Linked DNA regions of Rhinolophus ferrumequinum. The protein of the gene in region 1 interacts with the protein of each later gene in a pairwise test. Links are inferred from orthologs where the notes say so. Each region holds a gene or a part of one and is shown in the gene's direction. Other genes may lie near its edges.

The links.
Region 2: the proteins of FXR2 (region 1) and NDN interact in a two-hybrid assay, tested with the Homo sapiens proteins (2 studies listed by BioGRID and IntAct). The link is inferred for Rhinolophus ferrumequinum from reciprocal best matches to the Homo sapiens genes FXR2 and NDN.
Region 3: the proteins of FXR2 (region 1) and PAF1 interact in binary tests that used the Homo sapiens proteins (3 or more experiments, as listed by UniProt). The two-hybrid records come from large-scale screens. The link is inferred for Rhinolophus ferrumequinum from reciprocal best matches to the Homo sapiens genes FXR2 and PAF1.
Region 4: the proteins of FXR2 (region 1) and FTH1 interact in binary tests that used the Homo sapiens proteins (3 or more experiments, as listed by UniProt). The link is inferred for Rhinolophus ferrumequinum from reciprocal best matches to the Homo sapiens genes FXR2 and FTH1.

The regions. Positions count from the first base shown.
Region 1 is NC_046304.1:11,269,076-11,277,252, forward strand, and holds the start of FXR2 (RNA-binding protein FXR2), read left to right. Parts: upstream 1-4,663; 5' UTR 4,664-5,029; coding exon 5,030-5,110; intron 5,111-8,177. UniProt on the Homo sapiens protein: mRNA-binding protein that acts as a regulator of mRNAs translation and/or stability, and which is required for adult hippocampal neurogenesis. Specifically binds to AU-rich elements (AREs) in the 3'-UTR of target mRNAs.
Region 2 is NC_046311.1:14,636,122-14,643,208, reverse strand, and holds NDN (necdin), read left to right. Parts: upstream 1-4,700; 5' UTR 4,701-4,827; coding exon 4,828-5,805; 3' UTR 5,806-6,383; downstream 6,384-7,087. UniProt on the Homo sapiens protein: Growth suppressor that facilitates the entry of the cell into cell cycle arrest.
Region 3 is NC_046298.1:38,559,102-38,566,593, reverse strand, and holds the start of PAF1 (RNA polymerase II-associated factor 1 homolog), read left to right. Parts: upstream 1-3,984; 5' UTR 3,985-4,100; coding exon 4,101-4,147; intron 4,148-4,666; coding exon 4,667-4,696; intron 4,697-7,492. Other genes in the region: MED29 (mediator of RNA polymerase II transcription subunit 29), read right to left, coding at 395-670, 2,478-2,562, 2,835-2,893, 3,399-3,614. UniProt on the Homo sapiens protein: Component of the PAF1 complex (PAF1C) which has multiple functions during transcription by RNA polymerase II and is implicated in regulation of development and maintenance of embryonic stem cell pluripotency.
Region 4 is NC_046294.1:9,007,074-9,014,560, forward strand, and holds FTH1 (ferritin heavy chain), read left to right. Parts: upstream 1-4,088; 5' UTR 4,089-4,292; coding exon 4,293-4,406; intron 4,407-5,756; coding exon 5,757-5,903; intron 5,904-6,217; coding exon 6,218-6,343; intron 6,344-6,439; coding exon 6,440-6,601; 3' UTR 6,602-6,761; downstream 6,762-7,487. UniProt on the Homo sapiens protein: Stores iron in a soluble, non-toxic, readily available form. Important for iron homeostasis. Has ferroxidase activity. Iron is taken up in the ferrous form and deposited as ferric hydroxides after oxidation. Also plays a role in delivery of iron to cells.

The DNA.
Region 1 (8,177 bases):
GCTACTTCTTGATGTTTCTGTTTTAGGCATTAGGTATTGACTTCCCACTGCTAACTCTCTTTTCCAACCTCCCATCACCCACTTCCATCCTCCCATCTTTCCAATATTATATTATAATCTTGTTGGATCTGTGTTTAGTGTTTACATCATTATGATTATGCAAATGCTTTTTACAGTTGGAGCCACGGGGATAATTATAGTTGTTTTCTGCACCATTTTTGTTTTCCCTGGAATTAATACTTGCCTTGTCTTTTTTGTTTGCTTAGTTTTCTGTGTACTCTAATTTACCTCAAAATTCTCCTGTAGTCGTATTAATCTCTTCTAAGGATATACAAACACATAGGAATTTGATTTATTTCGTTTGAAGAACTTTCCAGAGCCTGAAATTTAGGAGGCACTACTGGAATCTCCCTTCACATCTTTTTGCCTCTCTCGTGTTGATAAACCTGTTTCCTGGAATCTATGTCTTCATCTTTATTTTTCTTGGTTGATTTTGATGGAGCTTCTTGAGAAAGGAGGCCTGGGAGGTAAATTTGTTGAGACTTTTAAAGCCTGAAAGTGTTTTTGTTCTACTGTTGCACTTAATTGACATTGTGGCTGGGTATTGAATACTAGGTTGGAAACAATTTACCCTAAGAATTTTGAAGGCATTTCTTTCAAACTTCTGGAATTGCTGTTAAGAAGCCTGAAACCATTCTTATTCTGAATGCTTTGAAGCCTATCTTTGGTTCCCTTCCCTTTTCCCCCAACCAAAACTTTTAGGATCGTCTCTTTATCCTAACATTCTGAAATTTTACATAGAAATGTCTTTCTGTAGGTCTTCTCAAACTAGAAAGATGTGTTCTTTGGTTATGGAAACATTTTTTGAATTATTACTTTTTGGATGATTTCCTCTTCTCCATTATTTCTATAATCTCAAAACTTTTCTTATTCAGATGTTGAGTCCCCTGAACTAGTCTTTAGTTTTCTTTCCTTTTTTCCTATCTTCTGCATTTTTTGCTCTACTGTCTGGGAGATTTCTTTACTTTTATTTTCCAACCCTTCTATTCAATTTTTATTTCTACTTTCATATTTTTAATTTCTGAGAGCTCTTGTTGGTTCTCTGCATTTTTAAAGCATTCTGTTTTTGTTTCTTGGATATATGTTGTTTTCTTATCTCACTAAGGATATTCATGGCCGTTTTTTAAAAATGTTTTTTATCTTACGTAGTCTTTCTTCTGACCATTCCCCCCCCCCCCACCTTTTCTACTTGTTTTGGCCTCCGTCTTTCATTTTGGAGGCTTTCCTCAAATGTCTGGTAATCCTCAGTTGTCTGCTCATATTTAACATTGGGACACTAAAGTACTAATTGGAAAATTGTGTGTGTGTGTGTGTGTGTGTGTGTGTGGTAAAGTGGCATATTAACTGTGGACTTTACTGTAGAGTGATCCACTAGGCCATTTCCTTGAGGAACCCTTGCTTTTAGTGTCATTAGATCTTTTTTCTTGTCTGATCAGATTTCTCACAGAAGGCTCTTCCAGACTCCCACGTGGAGAGTATAAACCTGGCTGTAGGTATTCTCAGAGCTATGTGAAGAAGTCTGGGGCAAGTCTCAACATTCAGTATGTAAATTTTCATTTAATCCCCATTTTCAGTATCTATCTAACCACCCATCAATCGATATATCCATCTTTCTGTCTTTCTCCCAGTCTCTCTATTTAGAAATCCTAAGGCAAACTGGGGTATTCTGTTACAAATCATTTATACTCCAGCTAGAGTAATCTTACTAAAAGGCAAGCCGACTGAAAATCCTGTAATGGCTCCCACTGCCATTACAAACATAAAACTAAATATATTTTAGGCCCTCCACGCTTGGGCTCAAACCAACCCATCCAGCTATGTTTCCTCTTTAAGTCACTTCTAATCATGTTAGACCTTTTACTACTTTAAATGCATTGTACTCCCCTCTCTGGGCCTTCTGTACATGCCATTCCCCTGTGTGAAATTTTGTTTCCCCTTCTTCCACTCCCATCCTTTGTCTGAATGAATAACTAGAGCAGATAAAGAAGAGGAAAAGTCAAACCTGAGAAGATTGTTGGTGCCAGAGGTTTGGAAGTTGGTGATAGCATCATTTCTAAAACAAAATTCATCACTCCTATTGTTTAAGAGTACAAACCCAAACTCTTCAGTCTAACAGCTAGTACTCTTAATAATCTGCTCCACTTAATATCTGCAACTCTCCCTTCTCCTATCAGAATCACTGCTGATAGTCTCTTTATCATTGCTGCCACCCTAGTTACTGCTGCTCCTTCTCAGATACTCTTGAAGGCAACTCTTCTTTTGACAGCCCTTTAAATACTGGTGTAGTTGAAAGTTCCATTTTGGACCTAATTTATTTGTCAGTCTATACTTCTCTTTCAGAGATTTAATTTTCTCTTATAGCCTTAACTATGACTAATATGCTGATGATTCCCACATCCACCTTTCTAGCCCAGACCTCTCCTAGGTCACACAATTGTGTGTCCATTGACCTTCAGGACATTGATTCCTTCATTCAGTTCATATTTGCTGTGCCAGGAACTGTGCAAGGTACTGGTATACAGTGGTGGGGACAAACAAGACATGGAACCCAGTCAATCAGTCTCTGACTTCATACAGTTTATAGTGTGATGGCAGAAGAGAAATACTGGATAAATTATTAATATTACAACTATGATGAGTGCCACAAAGGAGTATAGGCTGTTTTGTCAGCGTGAGGCAAGAGACTTAATCTAGTGTGAGCATAGTGGAAGGATAACGAAATTATATTTAAGTTGGGACCTGAAAGAAGACTTTGTTGAAGACAAGAAATCATGTCCTCCTGAATGGTCCATAGGCCCCTCAAACTCAAAAAGCAAAACCAAACTCATTAAATTCATCAACCCCAAACTTTTGTTTCCTGTGTTCTCTCTTCCATGATTGGCATCACCAGTCACCCAGTAACCCAAAGTAGTAGAAATCTGGTAGTTGTGATCCTACCACTTCTTCATTGGCTTCTGACCTCATCCCACCCCACCCTCATCACCAATTCTTGTTGACTACAGCAAATTTAACAGGCTCAGATCAACTTGTACCCCTAATCCAAGTAGGTCCTCGGCATCTTTCTCACCTGCAATGGCTCCTTAGAGGTCTCACTACCTTCAGAACGGCACTTGCTCTTCAATTTGTTCTCCATACTTATAAAATGTAAATCTTATCACATTCTACGTATGGCTTAAAATCTTTCAATGACTTTCCATTATTAATAAAGTAAAAGCCATTCTTCTTAATTTGATTTCAAGTCCTTTACAATCTAGTTTCCTATAGCTCCCTACTTCAAACCAATGTTATTTGAACTAGTTGCGGTTCCCTAAAGGACATGCTTTTTCTGATCCTCTACACCATTGTATTTCTTGTTTTCTCCAGAATACTCTTACTGCACTTTTCTGCTAGCTCACTCCTACTCATCCTTCAACTCTCAATTTTCATCACATCCTTTGTAGTGATCTTCTTTGATCACTCTGTAGGACAATGACCGTTGTCTCTATGGGTTTCCCTATATGCATAGTCTTTATCATATCTTCAATTGAACTCTATGTACTTATTTGTTAATTTATTAAAACTTAATAAATTTGATAAATTTGTTAATAAATTTATTAATTTGTTAATAAATTTGTTAATAAATTTGTTAATTTGTTAAAACTTGTTTCTTTAATTGTCTGCCAGTTCTCCAAAATATTACAAATTCCATGAGATCAGAGACCACACCTTGTCTTTATATCTCTAGCACTTAGCACAGTGATTGGAATACAATGAGGGTTAAATAAATATGTGGTAAATGATTAAATGCACAACACGAGTCTAATTTCTGTGCAATTTTATTCACTTCTATCTAAATTTCTTATCTTACTTCAAGGATTCAAATATTCCCTCTACTATCCTTACTCCATAACAGTATTTTTTATTTTTTATTTCTTCAGCATTTAAATGATCACATTTTGTGCTGAGCTAAGTGGCATTTGATTTTCGGTACTGCCTTGAAATTATTCTTTAGCCCTTCATTATATGCGTGATCAGACTCTTCTCAAAGCAACAACGTGTCTCAAATCTCCTACTGCACAGAGTTATAGATGCTTAAAAGAGTCGATACGTATGTGTGGTTGGACAGTCAAGTTCAGAGTATGCGCACTGGTTACTTTTTTTTTTCTTTTCGACTCCTCTGCTTTTGCTGCGAAGCGTGCGCACCAAGAAAGACAAAGGTGGGGAAAGTGACCAAGCAGTCATTCAGGCGCATGCCCATCCCTAACTTGTCCAAACCCGGCGGAGCTCACAGGGAAGTGGGTGTGGTCTGGCCAGGAACCCCAGAAATCCAATCCGACTGAGTGAGCGCAGCCCCTCCCTCCCCATGATTGGCTAGCTCTCAGTGTTGTGGGGCGGGGAAAGGAAGAGATGGGAGCGGTGGAATGGTGGGATGGCGAAGAAAGAGCGCCAATCTTGTTCTGCGCAAGCGCAAATAAGCAACCAAGAGGGGGCGTGAGAGAGCGAAAGGGAGTGTGGAAGCCCCGATGCGCTGCTGAGCGCGAGCTGAGTCGCCAGCCTCGACGCCTGCGCCGTGGCCCTCAGGGCCCCGCGCGCGGCGGGCGGGTGCCTAGCGCGCCTGCGCAGTAGGCAGCGGCGGCAGGGGGAGGTGGAGGCTGTGGAGCGGCAGCGGCAGCGGCAGCAGCGGGTCCCGGGACTGAGGCAGCAGCGAGGGCGGCGGCGGGCGGAAGCTGAGGTGACGAAGGCAGCGGCGGCGGCGGCCGTTTCCCTCACGGTGGCGGAGACCAAGGCGGCAGCGGCGGACGGGGAGCGGCCCGGCCCCGGCCCCCTGCTCGTTGGCTGTGGCAGGGCCGCGGTGGGGCCGGCCCGGCTCCCGCCCCCCGCGGCTCCCCCTCCGGCTCCTCCTCCGGGGAGACGCCGGGGGGCTGGCCCGGCCCGTACTCAGACCGCTGCTGCAGCCACCGCCGGGGGAGTCGGAAGCGGTGGCGGCGCCATGGGCGGCCTGGCCTCTGGGGGGGATGTGGAACCGGGACTGCCCGTCGAGGTGCGCGGTTCCAACGGGGCCTTCTACAAGGTGAGGCGGCGCGCCGACTGGGGACACTCGTCTTTAGCTCCCTTCCTCCAGCCAGAGCGGGGAAGAGTGGGGCGGGATGGAGCTTCTGGAGCTGAGACCCGACCCTTAGAACCTTAGATCCACGCTCCCACCCGTAGCCCTCCTGGGGAGACCTCTGCAAGTTAACCCCTTTCCGCTTATTTTTGGCCCCTCGGTTACACCTGCTTTTTACCCTCATCTTAGAGAGAATGAACATAAGGACATTATTGTGCTTGGATCAGCGTCCCCCACCCCCCCAGAGACCCCATTTACCCAGCTTCGTATTGACTGACTTTTCCTGTTCCCTAGTAGAAGACATATCTTAGCGCTTAATCACATCTTTTCCAAGCACATGGAGAATTCTCTTTATTCTTTCCCTGTTTTCCCCTTGGGAAGGCCGTCCCATGTTAGATCCTTTCATCTTCCTCGGAGAGGTCCCTACCTACTGGCTCTGGAAGACACCCTCCTTTCGCCTTCTATTTCTGTTCCTAACCCAAGGAGAAATTGTCAAAATCTCTGACATTTCGTATCTGACCTTAGAACTCTGGATTGTACCAGTCAAGTTGCCTCCTAGCCATAAGGTGGCACCTTTTCACAAGTCTCTCACCCCACCCATTTATCCCAAGGTTAGCTGGTCTACCATTCCACCCAGGGATGGATTTGTATTTGTTATTACTTTGATCTCAGATACGGTTAGATCATTCATACAGTCTCTTCATCTTGAAGAATGTGAGCTTCATATTCATGATCTCTAAAAGGGGGATCTCGTGAAGATACCCTGTTTACCTTCTGAAGGATTTCCACTTCTAGACGACTTACGGCCAGTTCTCCCAATTTGGGAATCTGGTAGCCTTTTTTTTTAAAAAAAAAAAAAAAAGAAGGGGACTATCTTTAAAAGATCCTTGTTTACTTCAGCCCCTCCCTTGACCAGGATTTGGTTCTTTAGAACTGCTTTTACTACCACCTTCTTTATCTGTTCTGAATCCATTTTCTAGGACTCCCTCTTCCCCATTTAGGTTAAACCAGAGAGAGACCTGTCTTGTCTCTCAGGAATTTTTCTTTGTGAATGTTGTTATTTTGAACCTCTTTGGACTTCATGCCTGGAATAGCCTCACAGACTTTCTCGATTCCTGTCTTATTCTTTCATTTTACGCTGAGGAGCAAGAGCAGAGATAGCTTCGCATAACATTGCTTGTGAGAAGAGCCTCCTTTCCTTCACTTCCCCTCAAGCCTTTCTCCCATAATAGACCTCTTCACCTTTATGCCCTTGGAAATGACTTTCTCCAACTCCTTCCCTATGAAGTCATACCTTACTATGTAAAGGGTTTCATATTTGCCCTTGGAGTGGAAGGTTTCTGCCCCAGATTTAATTGATAAGTTCATTGTAGTCATTTTTACCCACTTCAAATGCCTGTCTATTTCTGCCTTTATTCCCATACCAGATTTCTTTATATTTAGTGCCTATTTCTTTATATATCTGTCTACAATCTTATTCTCTTGATTTAAATCTCTGACTTTTTATCCTAATATTTTTATATTCCTGTGTAATCCCCAGGAACCACTGTGTTCAATGTCTGAAGGAAGTTCCCAGCTGATCTCTTCTGTCATTTTTTCTGCATACTTTCCTAACTCCTGGGACTTTTTCTTCTAGCCTGCCTCCATAGCATTTCTGTTTTCTTTGGCAAGTGTCTATTTCCTTTCTGATTCTGATAGAGTACGTTTGTCTCTTTTTATTCTTTCCCCAAAAAAATTACATTACCTTTCTTGAAACATCCTTCTCATAAGATTTGAAACCCATGTCCCCCAATATCTTGTCCTTCATCTGGGCCTTCCCACGCCCAGATTCTGGGTTCCAAGGAAAGTGATTCTTAAATTGAGTCTCAGATCAAGATACAATGTTTGCTTTTGTTCTAGGAAGCATGGGAGCCAAGCACAGCTGGGGAAGATTGGTATCCCGTTCAAATTAACTGTGTGACATAGCTAGGAAGGGGGATGTTTCCCTTTCCACATATAAGTGTCCAACAGAAAATCTTTGAATCTTTCCCTTTTCTCCTGGGGGCTATGGCAGTGATAGACTTGAGTGAACTGGGGACAGGATACTTTGAATCAGAGAATAGAGTTTGGAGTTGAGCCAAAAACCAGGTAATGTGGATTCTTTGTTCTGGCCACTTTAGCATTTTCTGCCCCAAGCCTTAGTTAAACACAACAATAAATCCCTAAATTCAGACTAATTTTTCTTCAGCTTTCAGTGCCATATACTTACCCATTCTGACCTTGCCACAGATCTAATATTCATGACTCAGCAAACTTTGGTGTGGGTCAAGGAGTGTTGACATTGCTTCTAGAACTGTATATTTGGGGAGGTCCCTTTCTCCCCTATCAGAATTGAGTCCTATTTTTGATTTTCCATGAAAGGACTGCAGGTATCAGATTTGGGATCTAAGTTACTTTGTAGGTATCCCATGAGCTCTTCCTTTTCTGTCAGAACTTAAGGTATTTTATTCTTTAAGTTGTACTCTGCCAAGTGAAATATTTGTTCACCTTCCAGGGCACAATTACCCACATTTCCAGACCTTGCCTGGATATCCTAGTTCCTATTCTTTTCATAAGGAATATGGCATCCTCAGCTTCAACACGTGATTTTTACCCAGATCCTTCCTGCTTTTCTCCCAGAACTCCCTCCTCTCTATTGAGAGTCCAGGATTGGAAGGTAGATTGAAGGTGGGGACCAATTTAACGTCTTCTAGAATGTGAGGAAACTGAAGTACCTATGAAGCTAGGGCTCTCCTCATCCTCTGTCTGGTCCCAGGCCCCCTAAGCCAAAGCCAGGGTATGCCATGGCCACTGACTCAAGTCATCCTTTGGATCTGGTTGGCTTTCCAGAGATCCACTCACTAGTTCTTACCTTCACCTGCTTGTCTTCCTAATGAGCATGCACTGAGCAGAACTGGGAGCTCACTCTCTACCAGTAGTAACTTTGGAGAAAAAAATTGCGGTGATGTGGATGGAATTAAGGAGCAGAGACTGGGTTGGAATATGAAGTTGAGAA
Region 2 (7,087 bases), on another chromosome or scaffold:
TAGCAAACTATATTACAAAGCTATAATAATCAAAATAGTATGGTACTGGCAGAAAAACAGACACATAGATAATGGAACAAAATAGAGAGCCGAGAAAGAAACCCTCACTTATATGGTCAATTAATATATGAAAAAGGCGGAAAGAATATACAATGGGGAAATGGCAGTCTCTTCAACAGTAATGTTGGGAAAAATAGACAGATGCATGCAAAAAGGAAAAAAATAGAAACTGGACCACCCACTCTCTTATACCATATCCAAGAGTAAACTCAAAATGGATTCAGTACTTAATGTAAGATCAGAAACCATAAAACTCCCAGAAGAAAACATAGGTAGTAAACACTTTGACATCTCTCTTAGCAATATCTTTTTGGATATGTCTCCTTAGATAAGGGAAACAAAAGAAAAAATAAACATATGAGACTATATCAAACTAAAAAGTGATGGAAACCATCAATAAAACAAAAAGACAACCTACTGATTGGGAGAAGATATTCACAAATGATATATCTGATAAGGGGTTGATATCTAAAATATATTAAGGAACTCATACAACTCAATAACAAAAAATAAACATCCAATCAAAAAATGGGCAGAATACCTGAATAGACATTTCTCCAAAGAGGACATACAGATGGCCAACAGACATGTGAAAGGATACTCAATTTCACTAATCATCAGGGAAATGTAAATCAAAACTACCATGAGATGTCACCTCACACCTGTCAGAATGGCTATTATTGAAAAGTCAACAAACAAGTGTTGGTGAGGATGTGGAGAAAAGGGAACCTTTGTGCACTATTGATGGGAATGTAAATTGGTGCAGCCACGATGGAAAACAGTATGGAGGTTCCTCAAAAATCTGAAAATAGAACTACCATATGACCCAGCAATTCCACTTCTGGGCATTTATCCAAAGAAAATGAAAACACTAATTTGTAAACATATCTGCACCACTATGTTCACTGCAGCATTACTTACAATAGCCAAGACGTGGAAGCAGCTTAGGTGTCCATTGATAGATAAATGGAGAAAGAAGATGAGATGTGTGTGTGTGTGTGTGTGTGTGTGTACACACGTGCACACACGTGTGTGTAATGAAAAATTATTCAGCAATAAAAAAGCATGAAATCCTGCTATTTGCGAGAACATGGATGGACCTAGAGTGTATTATGTAAGTGAAAGAAGTCAGTTAGAGACAGACAAAAATCACATGATTTTACTTATATATGGAAGTTTAAAAAATCAAAGCAAACGAACAAACAAAACAAAACTAGACTCACAAAAACAAAAAATAAACTGATGGGGGTGGGTGGGTGATAGGATTTGTCACAAAGGTGAAGGGAAATATCGTCAATAACAGTGTGATATAGTCAATATTGTCAATAACGGTGACAGATGGGTACGAGACTTAGAGTGGTGATCATATTGTAACGTATATAAATGTCAAATCACTATGTTGTACACCTGAAACTAATCTAAAATTGTATGCCAACTATACTTTAATGTAAAAAACAACGGATAAAGACAGCACAAAAAGAGATCACTACAGACCAATATCCCAGAAGAACACACACACAAGAATCCTCAACAAAATACCAGCAGATTGAATCAGCAATATGTAAAAAGAATTACGCAACACAAACTTGAACGCAGGTCTGTTTATTTGACAGGATTTATCATCAAGAAGAAATGTCCCAGAAACAGATACAGTGAGGAAATCCTATATGTCTGGAAAGAGGCCTGTTGGTTCAGCTCTGTCTTTCTTCCTTCTCACTTGTTATTTTCAATGATTCTCAACAAGAAAAGGTACGGCCCATAAAAGGGCTTTTGGCACTGTAGGGGGAGGGCATCTTTTTTCTCTTCTTACACTTTCTGTTCTGTCCATGTCAGAAAGACGTTTACATGTGTGTTTACGGGGACCAAGGTGTCAATCTCTGTGGTGTGTGTTACATTTTCACACAATGAAAAATTACCCCACCCTCGCACCACGAGCGGTCCCCTTGAAGAATTCTGCTCTAGATGCTCTCAGGGTGACATTATTTACCGTCTTACCTCCCAAACCTCACTTTTCAGCCCAGGCCTCTTTCCTGAGACCTATATATCCAGATATCTGCAGGGCGTGTCCACTCTCTTCTCCGAGTAGTCTCAGGAAACAGTGCCTCCATATCCTAGCCGCGTGGCACTGGTCGATCCCGGCCACCCCGAGACAGAGTCTGGTCGTCCCCGGCACTCAGTCTCCCCTCGCATCTCCTTATTATCTATATCTTCTCTGCCATCCCTGCTCGACACTGGTTCCCTTTATTCTCTGCTCTGCCTCAATATCATGGCTCCTTCGTGGTACGCATCACACCATGATTATTTAATTACTCATTTGTTTCTTTGCTCGGGGCCCTCCCCCTCCACCATTTCCCCTCACGATACACTGCAGAGACCAGGTCTCTTCTCGTTCTATACTCAGGCACAATGCCCGAAATGTAGGGTGTAGTAAATAGTTGCACCCTCCTTTCCAAGTGGAGTCCCGTGGAAGGTCTCCAAGGCGGTCTCTCTACCTCTCCTTCTCCACCTGCCCCCAGCCTCCATCCAGGCTTCACTCTGATTCCAGTTGACCTTTCTGAAGACACCGACCCTGTCCGTGCCTGAGTGTCAGTCCCTGTGGGTCCCTGTGGGTCTGGGCGGGACGAGAAGCTCTCACATTTCAGTGAGTGTCCTTGGGCCTCAGTTGGACAGGCATGCAGTGTCACTCTAGGGACACTGGAGTGGCTGAGGGGCCAGGCTCGAGTCCCCTCCCTTCACCTCCCAACTGTAAAAAACAGCCCTGCCTGGTCTCACATCTTATTCTTTTCTAAGAAAAAGTGGCCAGGCTGCAAACAGTCCCGATGGGTTGTTTTCCACCCCCCGAGAACGAGCTACTTTTCTAAAATGAAACTCTCAGGCACATAACAGACGTTGCTCAATAATTGCTGAGCACGTTCATGCGAGTTATCTTCCTCAGTCCTTCAGCCTGCATGTGGGGCCCGTGCGGGACTCAAGGTTGAGTGTGCTGCCTGTGTGGACAGGATGGGGCCAGAAAGAGTCACATTTCACGCGGGGCCTCTGGGCCTCTGTGCTGTGAGCATGCGTGCTCTCCCCCGGAGGCTCCAGGGTGACCCCCCTTCCTCTGTTCACTATGGAAACCAGTGGCAGGACAGGCCTCTCCTCCCGTTCCCCGAGTCTGCCAAGAACAGCCTATCCCACAGCTGTGTAATCGGTTCCACATTATAGAGTTTGAAGGAAGCCACCAGCAAAACTGTCTGCACCAGAAGATTTTAAGTGGTAACTTCTCCATAGACTTCCTGCATCCATGAAACTAGATTTACAGAATCTAGATTTTAAAGGCAGCCCTTCACGAGTTTGCTTGGGGAGCTTTTTTGTAAACTTTGAGCATTTGCTTCTAAGATGCTGGCGGGGAAGGACTCATTGCCCTTATCAAATAGGGCCAACCTGGGGAAACCCAGCAAGCCTGATGAATCCTCAGAATTCTCAGGGCAACACTGGATCTCATCCCCAATCCTTGACCTTGAATTAAAGGAGTTGTAGAAGCCTCATGAGTACTGGCTTCCTCTTCTTCCCCTCCCGTGGTGTCATCTGTCCCCTTCCTTATGGTCACGAAAGTCTGCATCTCTGGCTTATGGGTAGGCACCTTCTTAGGAAGCCATCAAGCTACTGACCCCTCCCGTGACACACGTGCCAGTGCATTTTCTCTACTTAAAGGTGGTCCCAAGCTTTACATATTTCCACGTCCCTTTACAGGAACTTTCTTGTTGGTGGGCAATGGAGCCTCTTCAGCAGACCTCATCCTCGTCATCTGAAGAGGCGTCCAGTTGGGCTGCAAGCGTGAGCATCGCTAAGGGTCTACCCTGTACTTGATTCCAAACTTGGGATTCGGTTCCAATACTCTAAACCCTCCGAGCACAAACTACACACCCTGACACAGTCCTAGCCGGCCCTCCTGCCAGCCGTGAGCTGTGACGGAGCTGTGGTAGACACGAGGCTCCACTGTTGGCCAGGGGCAGCCTCACCAGAATGAGGCGCAGTCCAGCTCCGGCAGCAACTGAATCCCAGGAGGCTGCTGTCTGGCCTGAGCTCTGAGAGCTCCCGAGCAGGACATCTTAAACGGTTGTAATTGTCGTGCTTTTATGAACATTTTCATAAGTGCTTCTATACATGTTACATACCCAAGGTGCCAAAAACATGTATACACATGACTTGTATTCATCTTTCGTTATCAGCCTATATTGAGTACTACAATTTTAATACAGTGCTTTTCCTTTCTTAATATGTGTGTGTATATATATTTGTCAGGAAACCCACCTTTACACAACAGCCGACGCCTTTCTCTGGGGCGCTTGTATCTAATCTGCTTCTGGATGTACCTTGTTAAACGTTTTCTAAGAAACTCAACCTCAGCATCTCAGAAGTTAAGTTCTCATCTTTCTGCTTCAGTTTGCTCCTTCTCCAGTGCTCACCCTTCTCCGTCCCCAGACGTGCTTGGCGCCCACAGGCCACCCGGGGGTCACTGCTGCCCTTATCCCAGCTGCCCTCACCCTCTCAGGGGGCTCGGGGGACACCCGCCCCGTCGGGCTCCCCGCCCCACCCCCGGCAGCCGGGCCCGCGGTGGCGGACGCGCAGGCGCAGTGGCCGCCCGCCGCCGCCCCGCCCCTCCTGGCCTCTGCGGAAGGCGCCGCGCGCAGCAACGCGCACTTCCTCTCCAGGAGTCCGCGGAGGGAGCGCAAGCTCGAAGAGCTCCTGGACGCAGAGGCCCTGCCCTGGTCACACAGAGCCGACATGTCGGAACAAAGTAAGGATGAGTGCGACCCCGGCTTTGCAGCCCAGGCCGCCACCTGCGAGGTGCACGGCGGCAGCGGGGTTCCCGGGGGGCCCTCGGCGCCCGCGTCTCAGGCCGCGACCCTCGCAGGGCCGGACAGCCCCGCCGCAGGCCCGAGCGACGCCCCTGTCGCCTCGCCGCCGCCCCAGGCCCCGAGCGACGAGGCCGACCCGAAGGCCCTGCAGCAGGCCGCGGAGGAAGGCCGCGCCCAGCAGGCCCCGAGCGCGGCCCAGCCCGGCCCCGCGCCGCCCGCCCCGGCCCAGCTGGTGCAGAAGGCGCACGAGCTCATGTGGTACGTGCTGGTGAAGGACCAGAAGAGGATGATCATCTGGTTCCCAGACATGGTGAAAGATGTCATCGGCAGCTACAAGAAGTGGTGCCGCAGCATCCTGAGGCGCACCAGCCTCATCCTCGCCCGAGTGTTCGGGCTGCACCTGAGGCTGAGCAGCCTGCACACCATGGAGTTCTCGCTGGTCAAAGCGCTCGAGCCCGAGGAGCTGGACAGGGTGGCGCTGAGCAACCGCATGCCCATGACAGGCCTCCTGCTCATGATCCTGAGCCTCATCTATGTGAAGGGCCGCGGCGCCCGGGAGAGCGCGGTCTGGAACGTGCTGCGCATCCTCGGGCTGCGGCCCTGGAAGAAGCACTCCACCTTTGGCGACGTGAGGAAGCTCATCACCGAGGAGTTCGTGCAGCAGAACTACCTGAAGTACCAGCGCGTACCCCACGTGGAGCCACCTGAATACGAGTTCTTCTGGGGCGCCCGCGCCAGCCGGGAGATCACCAAGATGCAAATCATGGAGTTTCTGGCCAGGGTCTTTAAGAAAGACCCCCAGGCCTGGCCTTCCCGATACAGAGAGGCTCTGGAGGAGGCCAGGGCGCTGCGGGAGGCCGAGCCCACTGCCCACTGCCCCCGCAGCAGTGTCTCCGAGGACTAGCAAGGTCTGGAGGCAGATTCCTGGTGTCTGACCCTCACCAGGGTGGCGGGGCGGGGGTGGGTGGGCGGTAGCGTATTCAGGATTTCCAGTGCAGTATTTCACGTGTAACTTTTAAGTTTTCAGTACAGTGCTTTTATACCTTTTAATGCAATGTTGTATTCATTTCAGTACTATTAGGTAGTGGGTAGGACTTCTGCATGTTTGTTTATAAGTAAGCTCGGTCGGTGCTTTCGCTTTTGTGCTACCTTTCTTGAATTTTTGTACCAGAGATGTGCTAAACTTATGAAATACATTGAGAAGTTTTCCATCTTATTCTTTTCTATGGAACGGATGATGTGTGTCTCGGGTAGACTGCCCCGGGGAGGCAGGAAGAACTCCCCAGTAAAGCTGGCCTGACCAAGAGAAAAGTCAAGGTCCCCTCAGTTAATGACCTCGCGGGGCACAGGAAACACCCGTGCGGAGTGCGCCGGTGTGGTCTCACATGGTCTCAATGTGGGCACTTGGCACAGTTTACTAAACACAAGTACAACCCCACCATGAGTAAACTTGCAACATTAAAGATTCTTGTGATACAATCATTTTTGGAAAAGTGTACTTTATCTCTTTCACAATGTAAGTTGGGAGTGAGACGTTTTTCAAAATGTACAAATACCATAACTTTTTCGTCTACTAAGGTGGGACAGTCACGACTCATCGTTACTCCTAAAAGTGTGAACGCTACAGTTTTATTGTTTAAATGTAACTCACAGGTTCACGTCAAAACTTCGACAACTACAGAAAAGTAGAAAAACAAGAAAAAGAAAGCAAACATGCTCATAATCACACCACGTAAAAACCACTGTTAACGTCCTCTCTTGAATTTTGTACATTTTATTAAAATTAATAGCTGTGTTTTGTGGGCACTTAAAGAGGGAGGCATTGTACTAAACCCTTCCCGTGCATTTGCTCCTTTGATTGAATCCTCACGACGGCCTTATGAGACAGGCTTTCATTACATCTGCCCCGAGCAAAGTCGGGAACTAACTTTCCCTGGATCCGAAAGCTTAGTAAGAGGAGGAGCTGGGATTTGAACCCAGACAGAGTGGGTCCAGAGCCTCTCCTTTTCCTCACCTGCCTGTGACCGCTGCCCCACCTCCTGCCTTACTTTATTTCTTTTTTAAATTTTGTGTTACAGTCTCTTAGCTCCCTACCCCCAATGCACACACACACAAGCCTATGGATTCCACTTTTCTAATTAATCCTCACTTTAATCTTTTAGAGAAAGCAATCACTCTGATTGTAC
Region 3 (7,492 bases), on another chromosome or scaffold:
GCAGAACACAGCGGCACAGGGGGACTGGGAGAGAGATGGTCAGCGACAGGGAGACACAGGACCACAGAGCAGAGACAGACATAGGGACAAAAAGAGACTGAATGAGAGACAATAGACACACGCAGCAGACACACAAAGGCAGGCAGGCGAGGTAGAAAAAAGGACAGACACAGAGATCATGCTTAAATTGGGACAGAATCAAGTAAGGATAGAGGGAGAGGGCCCAGTGAGGGCTTCACATCCAGGCCAGGTAGGGGACGCGCCCCTCAGGTCATCATCAGGCACAGTCCAAGGTCCACACTTGGAGGGAGAGCAGGCAGCCAGCTGAGGCAAGGCCCCGCCCCGTGCGCGCTCTGCTGGCCTCTGCTGCCCCCTGCTGGCTTCGCCCCAGTACTCAGGCGGGAAGAAAAGTCAGAGACAAGGCTGCTTTGAGGCCACTCTTCATTCCCTCCCTTTCCCTCTCCCCCACAGCCTGGCCCATTCCCAGCCCTGCCAGCTCACAGGGCACCCCCAGGGCCCGTAGGTGGTGCAGGAGTCTTGCCCGTGACTTTGTTGGCACAGTCCAGCAGAGCGGTGTGAATGTCCTTGGCACAGGCAATCTGGGCTTTGATGACTGCCAGGTACTGTGGGTAGGGTAGGCTGTCAGGCTGCACTGCGTCAGGCTTGGTAGCTGTGGGCACCAGCGTTGGAGAGTGCTTGGCACTGTCGCAACTCTGTGACAGGCACTCATGTGCCAAGCGCTGTGGATGGGCAGGCAAGGTGCAACATCAGCTTCACTCTGGGTACTCCCAACCCCGCCCCAAAGACCAGCCTGGGGTGGCCTGCTGGGTCCCTGGACTGCTGGTCTGGGGGTCAGATCCTAGGCCTGCTAAACACTTGTTGGGTGAGCTCAGGTGAGCAGCCGCGCCCCTCTGAGCCTGTTTTCCTCCTTTGGAAAATGAGTTTAATAACTATCTTTGCAACTCATAAGGTGAGAATGGTGAGAACAGGGTGTGGGACAGACACAGGTTCTGGCACATCACTTAAGTGCTAACGAATGAGTGTTAGCTACTATGATTGTGACTGTCCTAACCCCAGGCTTGGTATTGGCAGTGGCTTCTCTGATGACATCTGCTCCCAGTTTTCCTCCTACTTCTTTGGTTGCTCCTTGTAGGTACTTAAATGCAGCAACTCCCACATCCCATCTCCTCCTTTAATTCTCAAGTCCTCTGGCGCTGTCTCATTCCCGTATATCACTGAGTACCCACCTCTGCACTGACGACGGCACATCTGTGTCCCCAGCCTCCCCTTATATTCCAGAGCTCTCACACTCCCCCCACCCCCAATGGCTCCTCTTTCTAGGTCCCTGTCTTAGGGAGGGCACTACCATTCCAACTAGAGCCCTGGGACTCATCCTGGAGGCTCCTCCTCTTGCAACCTGTCAGTTCCCATGGCCTCTGAGTTTCTCTCCCATCGGCCCTTCCGCACTTCCTCAGGGCCTTGTCCTGGTGGAGCCTCGCCCATTGAATCCTGCCCTGGCGGCCCTCTTGGGTTCCTAGCTTCCACTCTTGGCCCCTTTAATCCACCCCTCATTTGGCAGCCAGAGTCATATTCCTAAAAAAGCAATGGGTCCACGTTCTTCCCTGCTTGAAACTCTGGATGGCTCCCCAGCACCCTCAGGACTATATTTAAACTTCAGCAAGCCCCAATCCGAACTACACCTTAGCCAGACTGAATTTCATGATGTTCCTAAAGGGCACTTAAAGCAGAAGCTGTTCCTTCTGGCTGGAATGCCTTTCTACCACTATCAGGCTTCTCGAATTCTGTTTCTTCAAAACCCAGTTCAAAATAATGATGGCAATGATAATACTGCGGAAACATTTGCCATGTGCCCAGTACCATGTTAAGTACTTTACATTCATGATCTTGCTGAGTGTTTCCCGAAAATCCATTTTCCAAAGGAGGAACCCTCGGCTCAGATGTAGAGGTTGGTGGTCCATCTGATTCCAGAGGCTCTTAGCCACTTGCCCTCCTTTGGATTCCTGCCCCACCTCCAGTTTTGTTCCTGCCTCAGCTCAGATGTGTTCTCCACCAGTAGCCTTCCCTGAGTCACTCTCTACCTATCCCTAGCCCAGGCAGGGTCAGGTGCCTTCTCTGGGCTTCCACAGCCCCCTGAGCTTCCCTCATTTCAATCCTGACTTCTTTAGCCGTGTTCCCAATCCCCTATCCCAGCCCTGATCTCTAAGGCCTGGGCTTCTCCATCACAGCTCTGAGCACTCTGAGGCCTCAATGATGGGCACGTGTGTCACCCCACTGGACTAGAAGCTCTGAGTGGGTAAAGATCAGGGCAACACTGTGTCCCCAGCTTCAGATGAAGTACAGGTCTGGCCCTCAGGAGGTGCCAGTGTGTGTGTGTGTTAACTGGCTGAATAAGGGTTCCTAAAGACCCAGGGATTGAGGCAAGATTGTGATCACCCAGTGTCTAGGAGGCCCCTTACCAGGCAGAGCTCCAGCTGGTCACAGAGTGCGTAGAACTCCTCCAGACACTTGTCAAAGCGCTGTATGGGTCCATCACTGCTCTTTCTATAGTCCATGAGAAGGAGACTGAGAAACGGATTTTCAATCTCTGGGACATCTACCCAACTAAGTAACCATGAGGAAACCAGGTATAGGCCCAGGAGCCCCGCGGCAGGGCCTATGGAATTGTTAATAGTAGAAGAGGCAAAAAGAGCAAGGCCCTACGGAGCCCGGCTTGAAAATAGGAGGAAAGGAGGCGGGTGGGCGGGGCTTGGGGGATGAGTTTCTAAGATGGGGTGGAGATAGGGGTACATCTTAGGATATGGGACTATACTCACTGTCCGTTGTCAATATTAGTGTTCTGAATCAAGTTCTGGGCTGCAACCTTCATCAAAGTCTAGTTTTAAAAATAAAGGTGAGAAATGGAGAAACAGAAGGAGAGACTTTTGGTAGTCTACACTCTTCCTTAAGATTTAATCAATCTCAGGCCTCTTCACTTGACACCGTCTGTCACTCCAGAGTAACTCCCGTTTCCATTCCTCTATAGCAATAATCACCCGTATTTTCCCAGGGGCCCGTTTTCATCTGGGGTTCTCGCCAATGACCTCCCGGACACATCTTAGAGCCCTCACCCACCAATCACAAGCAGAATCTCTGTACAAGCCATCCTTTCTCAGGCATTAAGGACCAGAGCTCGGTTTCTCCTTTAAACTCCCTCCCACTTGAATCCCGGCCAATCCCAGGCTCAACATCCGCGCTGCTCCCACTAGGACCAACTCTCACTCCTTTTCCCTGCCTAACGCTTCTTTTGCCCGCTCCCAGCCTAAACAGCCCCTCCGCCCACCCCCTTTAAGTCAGACAGCCAAACCCCGCTTGCTTCTTGAAGCTCCCGGCCAAATCACCTGAAGACTCTCCTTTAGCTGAGGGATGAGCATCTTATAGCGTTGCACGGGATCGAAGTCCTGTTGTTGTTGCTGCAAAAGCCCGCTCTGGGCAGGCCCCACCAGTTGTGTCGGTGGTTGCGGCTGCTGCTGGCTACCCGGGCCACCAGCCGAACCTGGGCCAGACACACCAGCAGCTGAGGATGCCGCTGAAGCCTGCTGCTGGGACGCAGCCATCTTTCTCCCTTAGCGCGCCGGAAGTGCGTTATAAGCGTGTCTCTCCGGTTTTCTTTACAGCGTCTTCGTCTCTAGGCCTTGTTTGCTTGTTAGCTCCGCCTCTCAAACACTTCAGCCAATGGAAGGAAAGGCACTCCATTCTCCAACACCAGACTGTCAAATCCGACGTCCAGTCTGACCCTTACTCAGCCGCTGGCCAATCCGGGTGTGGGTTTAATCTGGACTCTATTTCCCAGAAGGCCTCGCAGCTTGAGGCGACCAGACTGAGCCTCACTGTCTTGGCGGCAGTTGGTGGACCTGCAGCTGCGAGTTTGCGGCTGCGCGTTTACCTGAGAACTCTTCTCATCAACCCACCGGGCTAACCCCGCGGACAGGGGCGCCAACCCGAGCGCTGCGTGGGATTTCGTGTCCGCCGAAGTCTGCACGCTTCACCTTGTCTTTCTGCGGCTCAGCGGAATCCAGTCGGACTGCAATCGTCTCGTCGCCATGGCGCCCACCATCCAGACCCAGGCCCAGCGGGAGGATGGCCACAGGTAGGCTTCACACCTCTTGGCTGTACCGCTTTCCTCTAGGTCTGTCCAGGTTTCAAGGAGGCCGGGATTAGGCTCGGGTGTCTACCTATAACGTCACTAGCCCCCCAGGTCTGCCCGTGACGTCACGGAGCGCTCACGTTTGAGGAAGGCAGGTGAGTTCCTTCAGGGATGGGATGTTGCCTCCCAGCCATGGAGTTCGGGGATTAAGCTCTTGGAGACTTTTCATAAGGGATTGAGCTCTTATTCCTCCAGTCAAGCGTCTGGAGACCCCCTTTTCCAAAAACAGTTGAGTACGTGGTTCTTTTGATTACACTTGAAGACACCCTTTTCAAAAGGGATTGAGCATTTTCTCTAAAAGGAATTGAACACTTGGTTCCCTCCATTAAAGCACTTGGTGCACCCATACCGAAAGGATGAGCATTTGTCATCCCCTTCTTAAAAGTTTGGAGAAGCCCCGTTCACTCTCCTGTCGGTCTCCTTCTCTTCATCGTTTACCGATGTCTCTCTCTTACCCACCAGGCCCAATTCCCACCGGACTCTGCCTGAGAGGTGAGCCCCCTTATATTTTCCTAGGAGGGGTGGTCCGGGGTGGGGGCAGGGAGCAGAGGTGGGGCAGCAGGGGCCGGTTTCCACCCCCCACCAATATTATCAGCGTATTTTATGATTACAAACCCCCCAACCCCCTCCCCTTTGGCAACCATTAGCTTGTTCTCTTTATCTGGGGGTCTGTTTCTATTTTGTTTGTTTTGTCTTAAGATTCCATATATAAGTGAAATCATGCATGTTATGTTGTCTTTCTCTGTCTAACGTATTTCACTTAAAATAATCTGTGGGTCCACCCATAGATGTTCCAAATGGTAACATTTCATTCTTTTTTTATTGATGAATAATGTTCAATTTTACACACACATCTTCTTTATTCATTCATATATTGATGGACATCGATCCAGGTTGCTTCCATATCTTGGCTATTGACTAGTAATGCTGCAGTGAATATAGGGGTGTATAGATCTTTTATTTTTTTGAGGAATCGCCATACTGTTTTCCATAGTGGTTGCACTAATTTACAATCCCAACAGTGTATAAAGGTTCCCTTTTCTCCACAACCGCACCATCACTTGTTATTTGTTGATTTTTTTTTTTAAAGGAAAGCACATTCTTTTTTAAATTTTTTTAAAGTTTCTTTTAAAAATAAATTTTATTGGGGAACAGTGTGTTTCCCCAGGGCCCATCAGCTCCAGGTAGTTGTTCTTCAGTTTAGTTGTGGAGGGTGCAGCTCAGTTCCAAGTCCAGTCATGGTCTTCAATCATTAGGTGCAGGGGGCACAGCCCAGCATCCCATGCAGGAATCGAACCTGTAACCTTATTGTTGAGAGCTCGCCCGCCAACCAACTGAGCCATCAGCCGCCCCTCTGGAAGTTCAGCGGAGGCTCGCTGTCTTCAGTCTAGTTGTGGAGGGCACAGCTCACTAGCCCATGTGGGAATCAAAACAGTAACCCTGTTTTTCAGAGCTTGGGCTCTAACCAACTGAGCCATCCAGCCGCCCATTTGTTGATTTTTTTGATGATAGCCATTCTGACAGGTGATAACTCATTGTGGTTTTAATTTGCATTTCCCTGATGATTAGTGATGCTGAGGCTTTTTTCGTGTCTGTTGGCCACCTGTGTGTCTTTGAAGAAATGTCTGTTCAGATCCTCTGCCCATTTTTTAATTGGATTGTTTGGGGTTTTTTTGGTGTTAGGTTATATGAGTTCCTTACATATTTTGGATATTGACACCTTATCAACTGTATCATTTGCAAATATCTTCTCCCATTCAGTAGGTTGTCTTTTTGTTTTGTTGATGATTTCCTTCACTGCACAAAAACTTTTCAGTTTGATGTAGTCCCATTTATTGTTTCTTTTGCCCTTGCCTGGGGAGACATACAAAAAAAAAAAAATACTGCTAAGAGCGATGTCAGAGATTTTACTGCCTATTTTTCTTCTGAGAGTTTTATGGTTTCAGGTCTTACGTTTAAGTTTTTAATCCATTTTGAGTTTATTTTTGTATATGGTGTAAGACATTGGTCCAATTGAATTTTTTGCATATATCTGTCCAGTTTTCCCAACACCACTTATCGAAGAGACTATCTTTACCTTATTGTACTTCCCTGCATCCTTTATTTTAGATTAACTGACCATAAAGTATAGTATTCTTTAAAGGATTCTTTGTATTTCTGTGGTGTTGGTTGTAACTTTTCTTTCATTTATGATTTTATTTATTTCGGCTCTCTTTTTTTCCTTGAAGAGTTTGGTTTAAGGTTTGTCAATTTTGTTTATCTTTTCAAATAAATGGCTCTTAGTTTTATTGCTCTTTTCTATTTTAAAAAATTTCTATTTCACTTATTTCCACTCTGATCCTATTTTCTTCCTTCTATTTACTTAGGGTTTTGTTTTTTATTTTTCTAGTTCCTTTAAGTATAGACTTAAGATTGTTTATTTGGGATTTTTGTTGTTTCTTGAGGTAGGCTTGTATAACTGTGAACTTTCCTTAGAACTGCTTTTGCTGCATCCTGTAAATTTTGAAAAGTTGTGTTTTCATTTTCATTTCTTTCAAGATAGTTTTAATTTCTTGTTTGATCCATTTGGTAGCATGCTGTTTAGTCTTCATATATTTGTGTGTTTTTTCCAGTTTTCTTCCTGTAATTTCTAGTTTTATGCTATTGTGGTAGGAAAAGATGCTTGATATGATTTCAGTCTTATTGAATTTGAGGCTTGTTTTGTGGCCTACTGTGTAACTAGTCTGGAGAATGTTCCATATGCATTTCAAAAAAAAATGTGTGTTCTGCAGCTTTTGGATGAAATGTTCTGTAATTATCTATTAAGCCTATCTGGTCTAATGTAATATTTAAGGCTATTATTTTCCTTATTAATTTTCTGTCTGGATGGATTTATCCATTGATGTGAGTGGGGTATTAAAATCCCCTATTATTGTATTACTGTGGATTTCTCCCTTTATGTATTTCTCTCTTTATGTATTGCTTTCTCCCTTTATTTCTCCCTTTATGTATTGCTTTACATATTTAGGTGCTCCTATGTTGGGTGCATAGATATTTACGATTGCTATATTCGCTTCTTGGATTGACCCCTTTATAATGATGTAATGTCCTTCTTTGTTTTTTACGTTTTTTGTTTTAGTCTATTTTGAAGTCTGATATGAGTATTGCTATTCCACCTTTGTTTTAATTTCTATTCTCATGGAATATCTGTTTCCATTCCTTCTTTCCATCTGTATATGTCTTTAAATTTGAAGTGAGTCTCTTGTAAGCAGCCTAGGTCATGTAAGTAGATGGGTCATGTTTTTTTTG
Region 4 (7,487 bases), on another chromosome or scaffold:
CATGACAAAGCACTTTTGGAGCCCAAGCCCAACCCCTCCAGACTAGCAGAGTGCTGAGTCACGGTGGGGCAGCAACTTCCAACACAAACCCCCGCCCCACTTCTGCCATTCCTCAGCTCTGGGATGAGCCAGTGTTCTGCAGAAACCACTGGCCAGGTGGTTCTGTGTCTCCTCCCTCTGAGGCTGCGGTCCCTGGAAGCCAGCCAAACTCTCCACCTCCTCAAAGTCACGAGGAGCTGGGGCTGAAGGGGAGGGAGGCCAAATTCTGGTCAACAAAGGTCCAAAGACCAGGCTCCAGCTTTGGAAGAATCTAGAAGCTTGGAGATGGCAGTTCTGACACCCTGGCAAACAGACACACACATACACACCCAGCACAAGACTTCCCTTTCATTCTTCCCAGCTGGCCTCCCCAGTGAACTTCTACAGCCCAGACTGTCCCTCAGTTTTGCCATGACGTTCTCGACAACTGTGTATGTGTTTAACCAAGCACAGAGCCAATACTGGTTCATGAAATCTCTTTCTGCAACAGACCAACTTCATTCTGGTGGGTCCAACTTTAGGCTGGCTCTGGCTACCTGCATGTCCTGGAGGCCCTGAAACTCGGCACCTCCAGTCCAAAACCTAGCTTGCCTTCCCCAATGGCCTCTCCCCGAAACTGCATTTCCTCCTGTGCTCTCTCTCTCAGTGAATGGCAGCTGCAGCCCAGGTGGGAGGCTCCCTTGCCCACCTCCCACCCCTCACCACCACCCACCCCCAATATCCAATCAGCTACCTCATTCTGTCTGTTCTGTCTTCTCCATATCTCTCAGATCTGCTTTCTGTCTTCTTTGCTCACTGAGAACTAGGGCTGTTGCCTCCCAACTGGTACCCAACCCTCTGGCCTGACTTTAATCCATCTTCCACATTCAATCGTGCATCCATCTGTTCATTCAGCAAATACTGAGCACCAAGTAACAAGCACCTTGCACAATGCTGGGAGCCCAGGATGCCCGCCCTCGAGCTTACAGTATACAGTAGCAGGGAAGACAATTATAAGGTGTGATTTATATGTATATAATTATACATATGAATATATATAGTATGTTTATTCATCGTCACTACTTATAGGAGCTACAAATATCAATTCAATTTGTCATTTGAATTTTAACTTTGTTTATGGCATCTTTTGTCTTAGAGCTTTTTTTTAAGGAGGGCGCAGCTCAGTGGCCCATGCAGGGATCGAACCAGCAACATTGGTGTTACCAGCACCACGCTCTAAACAGAACTTTTCATTTTTAAGTAGTCAGATCGCCAACTGTCCTTTTATGGCTTTCGACAGCCTCAGAACACTCCTTATCCCAAAATTCTAAAAGATAATCTTCTATATATTCTTCTAGTAACTTCATAGATTTTTTTAAAGCTTGAATCTCTAATCCAGCTGGAACATGTTTTGAAATAGTGAGTCATCTTCTTCCACATGACTGTCAATTGTTTCAACATAATTTGTTGAACCCATTCTTTCTTTTTTCTTTTTTTTTTTTTTTAAAGATTTTATTGGGGAAGGGGAACAGGACTTTATTGGGGAACAGTGTGTACTTCCAGGACTTTTTTCCAAGGCAAGTTGTTGTCCTTTCAATCTTAGTTGTGGAGGGTGCCGTTCAGCTTCAAGTTGTTGTCCTTTCAGTCTTAGTTGTGAAGGGCGCAGCTCAGCTCTAGGTCCAGTTGCCGTTTTCTAGTTGCAGGGGGCACAGCCCACCATCCCCTGTGGGAGTCGAACCGGCAACCTTGTGGTTGAGAGCCCACTGGCCCATGTGGGAATCGAACCGGCAGCCTTCGGAGTTAGGAGCATGGAGCTCTAACCGCCTGAGCCACCGGGCCAGCCCTGAACCCATTCTTTCTCCCCTAATTTAAATTACCACTTTAGCATCTACCAAGTTCCTATACATACGTGGGTAGGGTTGTTTTGTTGCACTGATATAGTCAGCTCTTCCTTTGCCAATACCAACTGCTCATAGTACCTTATACTTTTACATATGTGTGTGTGTGTGTGTGTGTGTATATATACACACACACACACACATATCACGGAGGGCAAATCTACCCCCATAATCTTTTCCCCCACATACTTATCACCTATTCTACACACTCACTCTTCCAAATGAAGTTTAGAATCATTTTGTCAAGTTCCCAAAAAAACCAGTTTCATAGAAATTGCATTGAATCTATAGGTTTATTTTGGGAGAACTGACATCTTTACAAAACTGAGGTTGGTTATTTAGAAACATGGTGTCTCTTCATTGATGGAAGTTTTCTGTCCAGCAGTAAATATTTATAGTTTTCTTCACACATTTCTTATTACCTTTATTCCTAAATACTGTAAGCATTTGTTGCCAATGTAAACGAAAAAAATTGTCTTTCATTCCATTTTTAAACTGATGGTTATTATTATACAGGAAAGCTTTGTGACTGATGACTTGCTATACTCTTATCCTAATAGTTTTTCTGTTGATTCGGTGTAAGTTTTCTGAAAAACAAAACTAATGTGGTAGAAATCCCTTAGTGTTTCCACATCATCCAGGATAAAATTTAACCCCTTTTTACGGCACACATTCCTTCCTGACCTGGCCCCTAGACTACCCTTCCAGCATTCTCCAACATGACTACTTTCCAGGCCTATACTCTTTCTTAAAGTACCTTGGACAGGCCATACATTTCCACACTTTTACACGTTTGCATATGCTGTTCTCTCTGCCTGGAGAGTTCTCTCTCCCTCATCTCCCTCCTCCACTTCACCTTCCTTTTAACTTTTTCTTCACACAGCGCAAGTGCTACTTTCTTAGGAAAACCTTCCCTGATCTCCTATCCCAGGCGGAGTAAGGCACCCTTTGTCTCCTCTCCCAGCTTGCTTCTGCTTACTTTATTGAAGCTCTGGCCCCACTAAATTTTTTTTCCCTGAAAGTACCGTTTATTTTGAAATGAATAAAGACCCAAGAGAAAGAGCCATAATTCCATCAGCAACTTGGTTTAACATTTTAGTAGTTTCTTTTAGGTTTGGAAGTCCAGCTTCCAGTTGCAGGTTAGCATCCTGAAAGGGGTCTTGGATAAGTCTCCCCCGTGTCAAAGGACCTGGCTAAGAATAGTGAACTTCGAAGCCAGCAGACTGGGGGACAGGAGCTCGAGCCTGGCTCTAGTTCTTCCACCCACTGCGTGCCTGGGTCATAGCTGCAAGCCACATGCAGTGGACCTGCCCCTCCAGGGTCCCCGGTGCAAACCGCACCTGATAAAAGAGGTCATTTCAAAATGGCCACACAGCATCGTCTCCAGATGCGCGCCCAAGTCTCTTCTCCTTTTTCTAACTTTCCATCTGAGTTTCAAAGTGCCACCAGTGATTTTCTCAGGCCCAGGGGGCTCATCTCAAGGACTCCCACAGGGAAAGCGGTTTCATGTCTGTCGGGAAACACGGCCCGCCCAGCCTTTGTTGTATAAACTGCACCAGGAGCCATATTTGCTTTCAGTAAAGGGCGGGCGGGCGGGGGCTGATCCGAGGTGGCGTGGGCCCCCCCATTCCGCCTCCATTTTGCAGCTTCGGAGACTTTGAGGAAGAGAAAGTGTGTCCTTTCCCAGTCCAACCAGACTCAGTCGGCTTCCTAGGGCCCACGTTTCCATATCCAGTTTCCCAACTGGCATTACGAGGTGATCACCTCGGGGTGTGCTAACTGCTGCTCTGCCGCTCACATTAACAAGCCCTTGGCCTTGGCCCAGAGCCTCGGGGTGTCGTTGGGGACGAGAGTCGTCCTGATGCCCCGGGGCAGTTTCCCGTCGGTTCCAAGACCCAGGAGGCCACGCGGGCCCGGGCTCCGAGCTGGGCTTCCCGTCCCTCCCCACTGTGTCCCTTCAAACCCACCAAGCGCGCCACCGAGCGCACAGCCACCCTCCCCCGCCGCACGCTTTGCCGCACCCGCCGCGGCCTCCGGGCCTCCCCTCCCCCACCGGCCCAGCGGGGCGGGGCCTCACGCCCACCGGAAAAGACGGGGCCTGGTGCGACGGGCGATCCGCGCGATTGGTCAGCGCGAGCCTGACGCCCGCTCCCGCTATAAAAGGCCGGAGGCAGCGGCCTGCGCCACAGTCTTCGCCTGGAGTTGCCGTGGTTTCCTGCTTCAACAGTGCTTGGACGGAACCCGGCGCTCATTCCCCCGTCCCGCCGGCTGCTCAGGGCTAGCCTTCCGCCACCTCCTCACAGCGCCTGCCGACCGCCCTGAGGTTCCCGCCACCGCAACAGCGCCGCCGCCGCCGCCTCTCCTTAGCCGCCCACCATGACGTCCGCGACCTCCTCGCAGGTGCGCCAGAACTACCACCAGGACTCCGAGGCCGCCATCAACCGCCAGATCAACCTGGAGCTCTACGCCTCCTATGTCTACCTGTCCATGGTGAGCGGGCACGGCGTAGCCCGGCTGCAGGGCGAGGGCCGAGGCGCGGGGGCGGCCGCCCGGGCGCGGAGCGGGGGTGTGGCTACCGGGCGGCCCTCCCGCCCCGGGCGCCCTTCGGGAAAATGGAGGCTGCTCCGGGTCTCCCGGGACTGGTCTTGCGCAGAAGTTCTGGGCAGTTAGCTCTTGCCGACTGCTCCCTGGGAGGACTTCGTCATAGGCAAAGGCCTCCTCTGCGCACCCCTTTATGTGTAAGGAGAGCCTGGGTTCTTGAAATCCCGGGATTGCAGCACCTAAAACCTAGACAGCCCTGCAGTTAGGAAGGTAGATTTGTTTTGCATTTCCATCCCATCCTCTGCGTCTACGTGTCCCTGAGACCCTCTGTTTTCTTTGGTAAAGGACGAAGAGGTCCAGCTACCATCCCCCTGGGTATGGCGGAGCCTCCTGCGTAATGGTGTCGAATGGCAGCCTTGGGGCTGGTGCTAAGTGACTTATCTCCGGTGGGCCGACCACTCCCGAGCAGCTGTCTCCACCCCTCTGCTCTGCTTATCTCTAAGTCCCACTTGAATTGAAGCCTATCTCTAGAATCTCCCTGTCTGTGGATAGGAAGTTGTCTATGTCACCCGGCCTAGTGCCTGGGTGCTTAATTCTTTGTCTTTTTTGTATCTGTAATAAGAGTTGTAGCCCTCTAATAATTGAACCCTGAATTTTGGGATGAAACCCCCTGACAGCTACTGGGCAAGGAATTATTCTCTGTCGTGATCAGTGGAATCCGTTTTTCAAAATCCTGGTGTTAGTCGATGTGGTGGGAGTTTTAGTTAGAATTGTCTTAGGATCATGAAAATTATCCAAGAATAGACATGTTCTTGAAAACAGGCCTGAATTTCTATGACTGCCATTCCATTTGAGGAACACCTAAATGCAGCAAGTGTCCAAGACCGAATCAAATTTTTGCTTTCTACTGGTAATGATATTTACCTCCATTAGCATTGCACACAGTTGTCACCTTGCCTAGTAAGTTAATTTTAGAAATCCTTCAGTCTGCCAGAAGCTGGCAAGCTCCTGTTGTAAAAGGGGTTGATCAGGGAGGAGGGGCTAATAATGCAGGGTAAATACTCCCACAGCCTCTCCAGGGAAATTGGACACTGGCCGTAAGAATTTTGCAGTAATACAGGCGATTCAGACATTCCATACTGGTATTCCTATGGTATTGTAAAGGTTCCTTGTCGTAAACTTGGAATTTCAAGGGCCAGGTTTCATTTTTGGATTTGAAAAGTAGAAACTAATTTTGTTGTGTTCAATCTAGAAACACAACCTGACTCCTAACGTAACATGTTCACATTCCACGTACAGTCTTACTACTTTGACCGCGATGATGTCGCTTTGAAGAACTTTGCCAAATATTTTCTTCACCAATCTCATGAGGAGAGGGAACATGCTGAGAAACTGATGAAGCTGCAGAACCAGCGAGGCGGCCGAATCTTCCTTCAGGATGTCAAGGTGAACAAAAGGTCCTACAGCTGTCACACTTGCATAGTCGAGCAGTTCTCAGGTGTCAGAAATCAGTCAGAGACTAGCAGTTGCCCTTTTAAAATAAGGATACTTTGGGCCTTTACCTTTCGTGCTCTTTCAGGCCTACCATCTTAGCTAAAGTAGGCACCCAGTAATGAGCAAGGATGGTAAATTGGAAACTGTCGTCAAGGGAAACTCAGATGTCCCTTTTGCCAAAGCTCGCTGGTTACATTAGGTACCTGCTGAATTGCGGTTTATTGGTAGAGACTATAGATGCATTGACCTAACTTCCTTTCATTCAGAAACCAGACCGTGACGACTGGGAGAATGGACTGAATGCAATGGAATGTGCGTTACACTTGGAAAAAAGTGTGAATCAGTCACTGCTGGATTTGCACAAACTGGCCACTGACAAAAACGATGCCCATGTGAGTGTTGGCAACGTGGGAATAAATGGAGGAAGTCGCTTCCCTCGGGGGCTGGGAACGCTGGCCAATAACTTTCTTCCCTATTCTGTTTTCTAGTTGTGTGACTTCATTGAGACTCATTACCTGAACGAGCAGGTGAAATCCATCAAAGAATTGGGTGACTACATTACCAACTTACGCAAGATGGGGGCCCCTGAATCTGGCATGGCAGAGTATCTCTTTGACAAGCACACCCTGGGAGACAGTAATGAGAGCTAAGCCTTTGGCCGGCTTCCAGTAGCCACGGGGGTGACTTCCTGGTCACCAGAGCAGTACGTGCATGTTAGGGTTACCTTTATCTTTCTATAAGTTGTACCAAATCATCTATTTACGTTCTTTCGTTTGTACCATTTCTTCAAATAAAGTAATTTGGTACCCAGCTGTTGTCTTTGAGTTTTGGGGATGGGCTAGAAGTATATCTAGGCCCACAGTTCAGTCACACCGATCAAAAAGAAGTACGCCTACGAGGATTTGTACTTAGGAAAATCCTTAGTTGTATGAAACTCCTAAGTTTGGGAAAGATACCAAGGCTCGTTCGTGTGTGTGCTGATTTCAGACAGAACTAAAGGACTCCTGATTCTGAATTAGCTGTTTGGAATAACATGTTTCCTTCCAGTGATTCATTCTAGCTTTTGTAATTTTTATGTACAAAAGGGTTAAGTAGTCTTGCAAGTACTGATTTTTTGTTATCCATTGGGCTAACCATTTAATTCGGGCTGTCAGGAAAACATACTCTTCAGTGTGGACAGCTATATGGCTGACGGGGTCAGTGTCCCGTTGGTGTACATGCAGGCAGGACCAGGCAGGTGAAGCATCCCCCTTGGAAAGCAGGCTAGATATGTGCTTCATCCCTATTGAGAATTAGAAAAAATACGCAACATCGAGTACAGAAGATCTCTTAAACATTTCAGTACAAAGTTAGCTGTAGTAGGAAAGCAAAGACTGAGACTTCTTAATACTAAAATCCAGTGACCAATGTCAGGAGACTGCAGAGCTATTAACAGCCTTTCCTAAACAAGCCACAGTGATTTGTAAGTTTCTGTTCAGCCTTAGCAGCAAGACAGATTGTAGCCCTTTTAAGTTTTTAATCACAAAACTGTGTATT